Rhinolophus ferrumequinum: one gene and its partners. The protein of the gene in region 3 interacts with the protein of the main gene of each other region in a biochemical or structural test. Links are inferred from orthologs where the notes say so. Each region holds a gene or a part of one and is shown on either strand. Other genes may lie near its edges.

Region 1 (3,746 bases), on a different chromosome or scaffold from region 3:
TAATAATTAGCATTCGTTACTGGTCAGCCTGCCTTATACAAGTCAGCAGACAGCCCTTCTTTTGGCAATGTTTACCTTTTTTTTCCACAAGAGTCTTTAGTCAAATCAGGCAACAACAACAACAAAATTAGTAATAGTTTGGGAACTATCTTCCTTCCATCTTTCCTCCCTGCTTGAATGCGTAATGTCCACAGTGGATATCTGTTCAATTCTAAATTATTCATGTTAATGGATAATTATCAGCAGAAAGGTGCTGATACTCCAAAATGGAAAAAATTGAAAACTAACCTATTTCAGTTTTGGACTATCTTTTCAGCGTATTTACCTTCTCAATTATTCCTAGCACGAACTAATATTTGTGCTCATTTACAATCCCTAAGTACATAGTAACTGGCCACTTACTCAGGGAGGGGCTCTGAGCCATGCCTGGTAGCTTGTGGAAAGTAGGGCAGACTGGTATTCAGACCCCAGGTGAGCAGCACCAATTTCATTTATTTTACAGTTCTGGTCAGCCTTCAAGATTATCAACAGACTAGCACAGCAGTACGGTTACTAAACTTTAAAGAACTGCTCAAAAGAACAATGAGGACAAAGAGTATAATTGTTTGCCTATAATGTATTCATTTGTAAATTATGCAGAGCAAATGTTTAATTACAAGTCTGATTCTCCCCAGGCACCCGCTTAAGTCCCTGCAGTCTCTTCACCCCATCAGGAATGCAAGGTCGCTTACTACGAAGAACATTTGCAAAGTTATATAGTGTGGGAAATATTTTTAAAAAGATTTAGGATTAGCGACGCTTTGGGACTAGCCTTACCACCACCTCTTCTGCCTACTTTGTCCTTTCCCACCTTAGAAATAGGTTCTGAAAAACAAAGGGATCCGGCCTCCTCAGTGATCCCCTAACTATACAGCATGAGAAACCAAAGACTGAAAAAATTACCAGGTTCTGATTTTCTAAAAAGCATTTTATATACGTACTTATAGAAAGACAAGGAAAATACAAGTCAAAGTGCCGCTAATTCTTGCTTTTGCATTCATGAAAACTCCCTGTAGAGTTTGGGGAGAATCTCTTACATAAAATTTCCGCTTCTTTCAGCTTAATATTCATATCTGTATTTTGCCCAGAAGAGCCACCTACGTTAGTTAGACCGACTACCTAGACGGGGAGAGAGAGGGAGAGAGGGGGGAAAGGCGGGGGGGGGGGGCGGAGAGAGACAGATTGCTGGTCCTTGTGAGCCGACAGGCTAAAAATACGCCGGCCCAGTAAACAAATCCCATTCCATCCCGACCAGAGCCACACCGTTAACCTAGCAATTATGAGAAGAGGAGTGAGATCACGCAGCCCCCAGCTTACTCATCATCAGCTTCTAAAGTTTCCATCGGCTCATGGCAACTTTCCTTTTTTCTAAAGTTCATAAGCCTGCCCGAGAATCTCCCCCCCCCAACACACGCACACTTCTTTTTCGCTCCCTTCCTCCATTACTGGACGCACCTCAGTTTGGATATCGACGGGGGGGAGAGAACAAGCTGGTTGCCTTTCCATTTCACTTTTACCTTGAGACTTTAAAATGAACTTGATCCTACGATGGGGTAGTAGTAGCCTGCGCTCCTAACCACCTTAAAACTCCACCATCCCTCCCGGAAAGTCTGACAAGGGGGAACCGTCCAAACTGCCCAGCACACTTGAAAGGGAGGCCAGGAACGGGGGAGGGGGCGAGGAACGCGGGGCGCAGGTGAGAGGGAGGAGTAACGGGGGAAAGGTTGGAACGAAGCAAGGCACAGTGAGGGCGAGGAGGGGGTGCCGAGAGGCGATGGCTCCGGGTGAAATATAATCAGAAAGGAGAAGGGGGACAGTGGAGATCAGGGGGTCAGAGTTTGAGAGACTGAAGAGGTGCGAGGGGCGAGAGCAGACGGGGGGTGGGTGACAGGGCGGGGGGCTCCGTTACCCTCGCGGCTCCCGGGGCAAGGCCCTAGGCCGGGGCGGAGCGCGGGGCCCGGCCGCCTCTCCTCATTCCTCTGCTGTGACCCCGGGGTCCGGCCGGCCCCTCCCCCGACGACGATGGAAGCGGAGGCGGTGGCGGAGACTGCGACCGCGGCTGTTGCTCCGCACAGGATCAGGAGCTGGAGCCAGACGGGACTGATCCACACTGGCCTCCCCCAGTGGCTTTTTGCCTACTCCACACCCGGCCGCCACTCCGGCTCCGGCGACTGGTTCAGGATCGGTGATTTTCGGCCGTCCGGCCGGAAACAAGCGCCAGTTTCCGGCCGGAGCGGGTTGGTGGTGACACCCAAGCCGCCCCCGGGCCTCCTCCCGCCCCGCCCCGCCCCGCCCCGCCCCGTAGCAGCCCCGCCTTTTGCGCCGCTCCCGGAGCCGCGGCCAATTTGGCGCTTGCCCCGCGCGTGACCCCGTGTTTGCCTGGGCGCTGTTCCTAGCGCCCCTGGTCTGGAGAGTTCTTGAACCAGGGCTGGAGGGAGACAAGGTGAACTCTTGAGACTTTGAGGTGGACCTCGTTGGCCACAGCCCTTCGGGAAGAAGCAGAAAGGGGCGGGGGGTGGCTCTAGAAAGGTGAGAGGGATGAAAATACTTCAGAATGAGAAGACTGAAATTCTAGTTACTCTACTCAATCACTCTGGACTGACCAGAGGAAAATTAACAACGCTTCTTCCAGACGAGTCTCTGCCCAGTTATGCCCTCTCCATCCTTCGCTCACGAAGTGAACGTACACTTCTCTATAAACACCCGATATTTATTAACGATGATGCCCTATTGACACATCTGCCTTAGACTCAGCACGATCAAAGAAAAGTTACGTAGCACTTTTTTGGGTAATGCCTTTTAACAGCATGACAGCATAATTCAATTCAACAAATATTGATTGAGTCCCTACTGTGTGCAAGGCACTGCTCACCGACACTGGGAACACAAATAAAAGGAACAAGACAATTCCAGGCGTCAGGGATCTTACACTTTAGTAAAACACATAAAACTATATTCTATAAAGCAGAACTCACATACGTGCGGTGTGAGTTGCAATGGCCCTGAGAACAGAAGCTTGCCTGACACATAACAGACCTTCCGTGTTTGATGACTGAATAAATAAATATTAGGAGAATGCGGACTGTTTCAGGTGAGACGTGCCATTTAATAAATACCTCTTATGATAAACACAAAATGAGGCCAGTCCCTGCTATAGTCTGACCAAAGAAATCCTAAATTTTCATTCAGATTCCTAACATTATGGCACCTGGTCCTCATATTCTAAATGTTTATTGTCTACATTGCCCCTATTTGGTCTATTTAAAAACAAACATTACTATCAACTTTTCTGTCTCCTCACTACTTGCTGAAGTCCTCAGTTTCAAAACAGGAGGGGTAGAGCATAGATGTTTTAGAATTATCCAGCTCAAGGCTAGAATGGAAAATCGACACCTGAAACAGGAAACTTCCTAGACATCTGTATCTCTTGGGGATACCCTGGGTTTAGAGTTGAAGATTTGGGGCTGGGCCTAGGGCCATACCAAGTCCAAGCAGGTCAGCATGCCTTGCGTGAGGCACGCGCAGGACTAACTAACAATACAGGTTAGCAGGCAGAACCATTTGACCTGGGCTTCAAGCACGTGGGGACTACACATTTTGGCTACGGCTCAGTAGCAAATTTGAGGGGAAGAGTAGGATGAGAACTTGGTCATTTAAGTTGATCCGAACTGAACTCCATGGATCACACCCACCCCTTACTAGCTAAG
Region 2 (3,746 bases), on a different chromosome or scaffold from region 3:
TGCTGACAAGGCAGTTAAGGATTAAGTGCAAAATGGCAGCTCAAATAAAAGAGCCAGAAAACCAACCTATCAGTTTTCTTTTCCACTAAATTAAGATCAAGAGAGTTGGAGAATATTTTGTCTAGAATGATACAAACATATAGGTGCAAAAATTCTCATATACCTTTGCAAAAAATTACTTCCGTGACCTTTGACTATACAATGACCCTAATAATGCAAGCACTGTTTTGAATGCAAGTATATGGAGGACATTTTCACAATGTTAGATGACTTCAGTGGTTTAAGACATTTTTTAAAAATTTATTGGATAAACTCATAACATGAAAAGAACTTTCAACCTATTCAGTGAAAGTTTGTACATTAAAGTTTGCTTTTCAAAAATGTGTCACTACTGCTTGCTTTCTACCCACAGGTTGTGATTATCTCAAAGGTGAAATTTTAGCATATGACTAAAAGGTCCTATAGCTACAGCTTCATGATTCAGCATCTAACATCAATAATTCACAGTGAGATCACAGGTTCTCTGTGGAAGGTAGTGACATACTTGCCTTATGAAAGGAAGCTTAAGGCATATTGAGAGCATTTTGAATTTAGACTTGTGGCTTGTGTGGGTGTCAGGCATTTGTTTCTTAGCTAGTGAGGGTGCAGAAGGATCCTCCTTTGGGAAAGGCTCTCTGAAAAAGGTGAATTTGGGTTGTAAGGCTAGGATACACACATGTGGTAGCCAGAACCTCCCCAACATGGTTTTCCAGAGTTATCCTGGGCAGGTGGGAACCCTTTCTGCTTTCTGTGGAAAAGATTCCAACTTGGTTCCCTGCCATGACCAAACACAAATGTGTTGATTTTTCTTTTTTGAGCTTCCAACCCTTGCAACCTTCCAAAAATAAATCAAACCAGCCATCAGGGCACCGAAATAATACTACTACTAATAAGCAGCTTTGCCTAGACTTACATAAACAACACTTCTGAGGTAAACTTTGCCCCAAAGGTCTGCACACACTCTTTTTTATGTAAACTTCTTACTAATAATTACTAGACTTGGGTGCATTAACCCCGAAAATAGATTTTAATAGCAACCCCTAAAAACAAAAGACATGAAACGACAATTAAAAAAAATGTGCACCAACTAGAAAAACACTTGGCAGCGTTCTGCAGCCCAAGCTGAAGACACCCCTCCTCCCTACTCCTTGCCACTGCAAAGACCTCCTTGTCCTGCCAACCCCCTCCACAGGATAAGAGAGCCTACTTGGGACCCCGCCCTCCCCTATCCCTAAGCTCGCCTTCCACGTAGCTCCTCCCCCTTCCGCTCCTCTCAGCCCTTGTTCCAGGAGCTGGGGTCAAATTGTCGGAGCAAGCTGATTTGCATAGCCCAATGGTTGCGCGTATGCAAATGAGGCGAGAGGTGGTTGGCTGGAGGGTAGCAGGATAACTCCAGTGAGCCCGGCCTTTGTCCTTCAGTGGCTGTGAGGCAGCTGCGGTGTTGGCGTCGCTGCTCTGGGCTAAGCGAGGCGAGGGGCCGGATAGCGAGCGGGGCGAGAGGGGCGGACCGCGCGGCGGCGGCGGGTGCTAGAGGAGCCTGGCCTGAGGGAGTGCACAGAGCCGGCGCCCGCGTGCCCACGGTGGCAGGAGCAGCCCGCACGCCGCTCTCTCTCTGTGGGGGACCTGCAGTTGCAATATGACTTTGGAGGAATTTTCGGCTGGAGAGCAAAAGACCGAAAGGTAAGTCGGCCGAAGCCTCTCCTTGAACTTGCACTCGCTGCGCCCACCAAAGTGCAACCAGGCTGTGGAAGGTTGCTGGGGAACGAGCGGGTAAAAGTTTGCAGAGAGCACCTCCGGCCTTTCCCCTACGGGAACCCTCCAGAGGGGCGCCGGCGGACGGAAAGAGTGTTTCCTCCCGAACCCGACCGAGCCCCTCTAGGCTGCCTTTGCAAAGGGCAGAAGCGACCCTCCCTGTCGTGCGGCTCCTGCGGCTGGCAGCCTGTGGCTGCGCCCTGCGCCAGGGACTGGCAGTCCGCTTGGGGCGGGGGGGTGGCGGGTGGCATTCTCGGGGATTCTAACAGGACACCCGGCCTCGGGGCGTGCGAGGGGTCATGGGGGGTGACGGGGCCGGGGTAGCCCCGGGCTTGCAGGAAGCTGAGGTGCGCGGTGACTCATGCACTCGGGAGGGAGGGTCGCGGTGCAGGGCGAGGGGGCGCCGAAGGTTCTGAGGAGACCCGGGCTGACGCGACCCTTTGCTCTTGCCGGTGTGTAGGATGGATAAGGTGGGGGATGCCCTCGAGGAAGTGCTGAGTAAAGCTCTGAGTCAGCGCACCATCACGGTCGGGGTGTACGAGGCGGCCAAGCTGCTCAACGTGTAAGTGGGGCCCCTCGCGTGTCCCTCGTGGCACCCCTTTCCACCCCCAACCCGGAGAGGTCGCCCAAGCCGGGTGCCCCTCGCCCTGCAGCGCCCCTTCCTGCTGCTTTCCATCTGCCCCAGAGGCAGCGAGCGGGTCCGGGCACGACCCCCGGGAGCCGGGTGGGTCCGCGCGGGCCCGCAGCGCCTCTGTGCTCACCCGCCCCTCCCGCTGCCCGCAGCGACCCGGATAACGTCGTTCTGTGCCTGCTGGCCGCGGACGAGGACGACGACAGAGATGTGGCTCTGCAGATCCACTTCACCCTGATCCAGGCATTCTGCTGCGAGAACGACATCAACATCCTGCGCGTCAGCAACCCGGGCCGGCTGGCGGAGCTCCTGCTCCTGGAGACCGACGCGAACCCCGCGGCGAGCGAGGGCGCGGAGCAGCCCCCAGACCTGCACTGCGTGCTGGTGACGGTAAGGGAGAAGGGAACTGCGGGCCCGCCCGTCGCGGTTTCGGAGTACTGGAAGGAAGTGAGCCAGGGCGGACAGTCTGCCTGACTGCAGAATAGGTGCCCGTCAAGCGCGTGGCTGCCTTTGCCCCATTAAAGAGTGTGGCAGGACTTTCAGCCGAGATGTGCCAGTTTCATCATCAGGATTTTCTCTGGTACAGAACATGCCTAAGCACGTCGGAGGCTGCCAGCAGCGGAAGAGATCCTTGTGAGTCAGCACTGTCAGCCCAACTACTCCCTACCTACATCTGTACTACCTCCCGTGACTAATTCCTTTAGCAGGGTAGATTAGATAAAGCCAAATAAATTCCTGGCTCACCCTCATTAAGGAGTCAGCTTCATTCTCTGCCAGTCAAAGCTAAAAATAGAAATGGTGTAGGAGACAAGCCTCATTAATTCCCTAGAAATACATAAAGAGGATAGAGTGGAAATTTTTTCTCTGCAATCTTGCATTTTTTTTTTTTTTTTTTAGTGGAGGGTTTCTTTTTTTTTGTTTTTTTTTAACCCCCTGATAAAAACCTTTGGTAGGTAGATAACTTGTAGGTGTAGAGGCAAATGTGATAGCTTTGTCTTTTATATTTTACTACTTTTTGGCTGGTCTAGTTAAGTGGCAGCCCAATTATTTTGTTACTCCTGAAAAAACTTTTTCTTTTTGGAGGATAACAGGTGGCAATTATGTAATAGTTAACTGCTATCAGCTCTCATCTCATTGTATGGGCAGCTAGAAATATTTCTCAGAAGTTGTTCACTCAGGTTTGTGCCACAGTACAAGTTTGGTAGGACAAACCTGTGAATGACACTCATGCAAAACTGAATAATTGTCATGCAAACATGTATGTGATTCAGTGGGTTGCATGAGTTCACACTTCGCAGGGTATAATTTAGTACAGAATTACCCT
Region 3 (3,746 bases):
GCCCAGAGAGATTTAACTCACCCAGAATCAAACAGCTTGTAAATGGCACAGCCTGGACCCTAACCAGTCTATTTGGTCCCAGGGCCCGAGTTTTACTGTGCTGTACTGATGGGTGTTAAGAACAACAGCTAACATTTATTAAGCACTTGCCAGACTCCATGCTAAGTACTTTATAAGCATTAGCTCATTGCATAACATCATTCAATGTATTTAAGTACAAGTAGAAGCGAATGTATATAAACCTATGCTTGTGTAGACACAAAAGAGATGATGAAACTGGATCAAAGAGACCCACTGAAAGTAAAATGTGGCTGAGTAACTCGTCCAAGGTGAAAGTGGCCGCCAAGACCGTCCACACCGGAGCCCAGAACTTAATCGCTTTCTATCCCGTCTCTCCACTTCTGCCAAGAGCAACAAGAGGTGTACACAGAGAGTTAAAAAAATTAAAGAGAGGACGAGCCCCGCTTCTCAACTCCCACGGAAAGTTCGTTCGCTGGGCTAGTAAGCGCCTAATTACCACCCCCGATTTGCAGGTGAGGACGCCCAGGCACGAGGACAGGAAGAACCCAACCCAGGAGCCAGAAGACGGACCAGGGAGGGAACACACACAGCTCAGAACTTAACGCTCCGCTACCGTCCCGACACAGAGGCAAAGTAAGGATGGAATGAGGGTGGGAGCGAGGCCTGTGTGCAGCAGGGGGGGTGCAGGCCCAACCTGGCAACTCAGGGCGCATGCCTCCTCGCTCACTATCGACCCTTCCCGCCTCACCCCAATCCTTCCCATGGTCCCCTAAAGGCCCCAGCCAACGGCACCAGCCACTCTCCACGTATCCGGGGCCCTCGTACCCGCTTGTCCGGTTCTCACGTTCTCCTGCTCTCCGCTAGAAAAATGGAGGCGCGAATCCTGCCCGATTGATCACTCCGAGCGCACCTTCATTGCGCACGCGCAAAGGACGCCGCACCGAGCGCTGCGCTATCGATCGGCCCACTCTCTCCGGTCCATCTCGCCATCTTACTTACTGGCGCCTTTAAGGGGTCCGTCCGTTCACCTCCTCCGACTTTATCCCCTACGAGACAACCCTGAAGCCAAGGGGCTTCTGTCTCAGACAAAAGTCAAGCCCTGGAGAACACGGCGGGCGCTAGAACAGCTACAGGCCTGCAGGGCCGTTGGCACCACCACTTCCGGGACCTAACGCGCAAGTACGCCTGCGCGCCGTGTCTGCCGTCCTTGGACGTGACTCAATCCGCAGAGTTGCCTGTGAACCAATGAAAATGCAGCGCCTCCCCAGCCCAGGCCAATCAGCTTTTGGATTAGAGAGTTTAACTCCTATTTAAAATGACTCTTTGAATCCTAACGGCTGGGCTCTCGGGAAGACTCGGCGGCTTTGGGTCGGAGGCGAGAGCCAACAGGTGCCTAGGCCTTGGTGTCCTTCTGTGAGGTGGGCAGGCAAAGGCGGCCGGGCTGGGTGGCTTTTTGAGCGGGCGGCGGGCCGGGTGAGAGGGAAGCGAGCACTGAGGCCGCGAGTCCCGGGCTGGAAGAGTCGGGGTGAGAAGGCCTCCCTTGGTTCCCCGTCCCCCTCTGTCCTACGCTTGTCCCTCCCTCCATCCTCTCTTTGTCCCCCTTTCCCTGTTCTCCGTCTCCCGTGCGCTTTGCAAACGCTCTCCCATCTAGCTGCTCCTGGGTACCAAGGCTCCCTGTGAAATGCCGCTTAGTGTTTACTAAACACCTGGCGTTAATGGCGTTGTTGGGGTGGGATGTTTTCTGTTGGGATTCTCCTATTCAGTGAGCGCCTGAGTAAGAAAAAAATACAGAAGGTGTGTGCTGTCTTGGAGTTTATTTCTAGTGGGGGTGGGGAGACAGACGACGAACTAGCAAGGGTAACTTCCAATAGTGATGAGTGGTAGGAAAGAGATAAAACAGTGTGTGTGCGCTTTACCGGGGGCTGCCTTGGGTAGAACAGCCAGGAAAGGCCCTTGCCCTGGCTGGATGGACGAGGGGGTGAATCCATGATAGTCAGAAGCCTTCCTGGGCTTTTCAAACCTTAGACCGCCTATATCGAAATTACTTGGGCGTTTTTCTTAAGCACAGAGGCCCACCCAATGAATCACGAAGGGCTTGGGCATAGGACTCAGGTGTCTACTTTTATCAAGCTCCCCAGGTGGTACTGATGTTTGACAACTAGTGATCTAGACCGGCGCATCTGGGAATGTTGTTAAAATGCAGGATCTGATTTGTTAGGTCTGGGGTGGGCCTGAAAGTCTCTATTTCGAACTGTCCTTGTGATGTATATGTAGCGACTGCTCTTGACGTCTAATGTCTCCTCCTCAGCTTTGCTTGTTTGAATTAAATCCTTTTCAGCAACATACCTCATTTCATTTCCTCTCCACCCCTCTTCATGTATGCAGATATTACTAGGTTGCACGAAGGAAGGAAAAGTCTAAGCCCACAGGGCTTATCTAACAGTTTTCCTGTGTAGAATACCAGGATCGCTGGTTTGAACTGCAGGGATCTTGTGAAGGTCATCTGGTCATGTGACTCCTGAACTTGGCTCCACACCAGAAGCACCTGAGAAGCTGTCTTCCGGGTGCTCTCTCCAGAATTTCTGGATCAAAATCTTATTCCTTGTGCTTATTATTATTAATCTACCTGAGAAGGATATCAAAGTGGAGCCCATGTCTGCAGTTTCTGTGGAAGAACGTTGAATAGGTGTCCTTAGGTCTACGTGATTTCCTTAGTCTGCTGCTTATAATTAATTGTTAGGGAGAGGAAAGCAAGCAGTAGGGTGTGTGAGATTAACATTTGCAACACATGAGCATATATTTCCTTCTCCTTTTTATCTATTGTTTCTCCTACCCACTGTTTGATATAAGGATGCTAACCTCTACAGCCCTGGTCCCATCTTCAAGGTGCAGTGATTTGCATGTACAATAAGTGGATGTGAAAGCCTAGTGTGGGAATGCTTTCTAATTGGATTCTAGAATTCAGAGAGCACCTGGGTGAGAAAAATACAGAAAGATTTCTGCTTATTGATGATCTACTTACTTGACAGGTTGCTGCCTGATTCACAGTATGGGCTTACCACGTGTTGTAAACTACTTTTATGGTTGATTTGCTTTGTTAATGGATTTATTTGTTCCCCATACATTGGCATACATGCCACATGCCAGGCGTGTTCTGGGTTCTGAGGGAGATAGTGAAAAAAATGGGACTGATTCCTTGTTCTCCTGGAGCTTACTCTCTTTGGAGATACTGAACAGGTAGCTGGAGTCTGGGTAGACAGGAAGCAAGTACAAGTAATGTTATGTAAGTAAAATGTTAAGTAAGGGATATGAAGAAAAACGCAGGAGAGGTGGTCTGATAGGGGACATTTGAGCATAGACTGAAGTGAAGGAGCAAGCCGCACTTCTATTGGGGGAAAAGCCTTATAGGTAGAGGGAACAGGAAGTGCAAAGGCCCTGTGGCAGGGAACTCCTTTGAGGAAAGAAAGGAACCCCGTATGGCTGGTGTGCAGTAGACAAGAGATAAGGATGGAGAGGTGGTCAGGGTCCAGGTTCTGAGACTTCATAGGCCTAAGTCTAAGCTAAGTGAAGAAAGGAGTGGAAAAGGAGCGATGGAGCTTGTCATGCTGCCTAGAATGCAAGTAAGATGGAGGCGGAGAATTGACTTTTGGTTTTGGATAGTAGGGGTCAGTCAGAAAGTTGACTAATAAATGGGAGCGGGCTCAAGGGAGGGTGTGAGAAAGAGC

The links.
Region 1: of the proteins of AURKA (region 3) and OTUD7B, one has a biochemical effect on the other in vitro, tested with the Homo sapiens proteins (2 studies listed by BioGRID, with this or other methods). The link is inferred for Rhinolophus ferrumequinum from reciprocal best matches to the Homo sapiens genes AURKA and OTUD7B.
Region 2: the proteins of AURKA (region 3) and GADD45A form a complex in vitro, tested with the Homo sapiens proteins (2 studies listed by BioGRID). The link is inferred for Rhinolophus ferrumequinum from reciprocal best matches to the Homo sapiens genes AURKA and GADD45A.

The regions. Positions count from the first base shown.
Region 1 is NC_046305.1:50,455,404-50,459,149, forward strand, and holds the start of OTUD7B (OTU domain-containing protein 7B), read right to left. Parts: upstream 2,259-3,746; 5' UTR 1,949-2,258; intron 1-1,948. UniProt on the Homo sapiens protein: Negative regulator of the non-canonical NF-kappa-B pathway that acts by mediating deubiquitination of TRAF3, an inhibitor of the NF-kappa-B pathway, thereby acting as a negative regulator of B-cell responses.
Region 2 is NC_046292.1:49,812,146-49,815,891, forward strand, and holds the start of GADD45A (growth arrest and DNA damage-inducible protein GADD45 alpha), read left to right. Parts: upstream 1-1,446; 5' UTR 1,447-1,675; coding exon 1,676-1,719; intron 1,720-2,251; coding exon 2,252-2,353; intron 2,354-2,574; coding exon 2,575-2,812; intron 2,813-3,008; coding exon of another isoform or gene 3,009-3,055; intron 3,056-3,746. UniProt on the Homo sapiens protein: In T-cells, functions as a regulator of p38 MAPKs by inhibiting p88 phosphorylation and activity.
Region 3 is NC_046306.1:5,116,641-5,120,386, forward strand, and holds the start of AURKA (aurora kinase A), read left to right. Parts: upstream 1-1,318; 5' UTR 1,319-1,439; intron 1,440-3,746. UniProt on the Homo sapiens protein: Mitotic serine/threonine kinase that contributes to the regulation of cell cycle progression.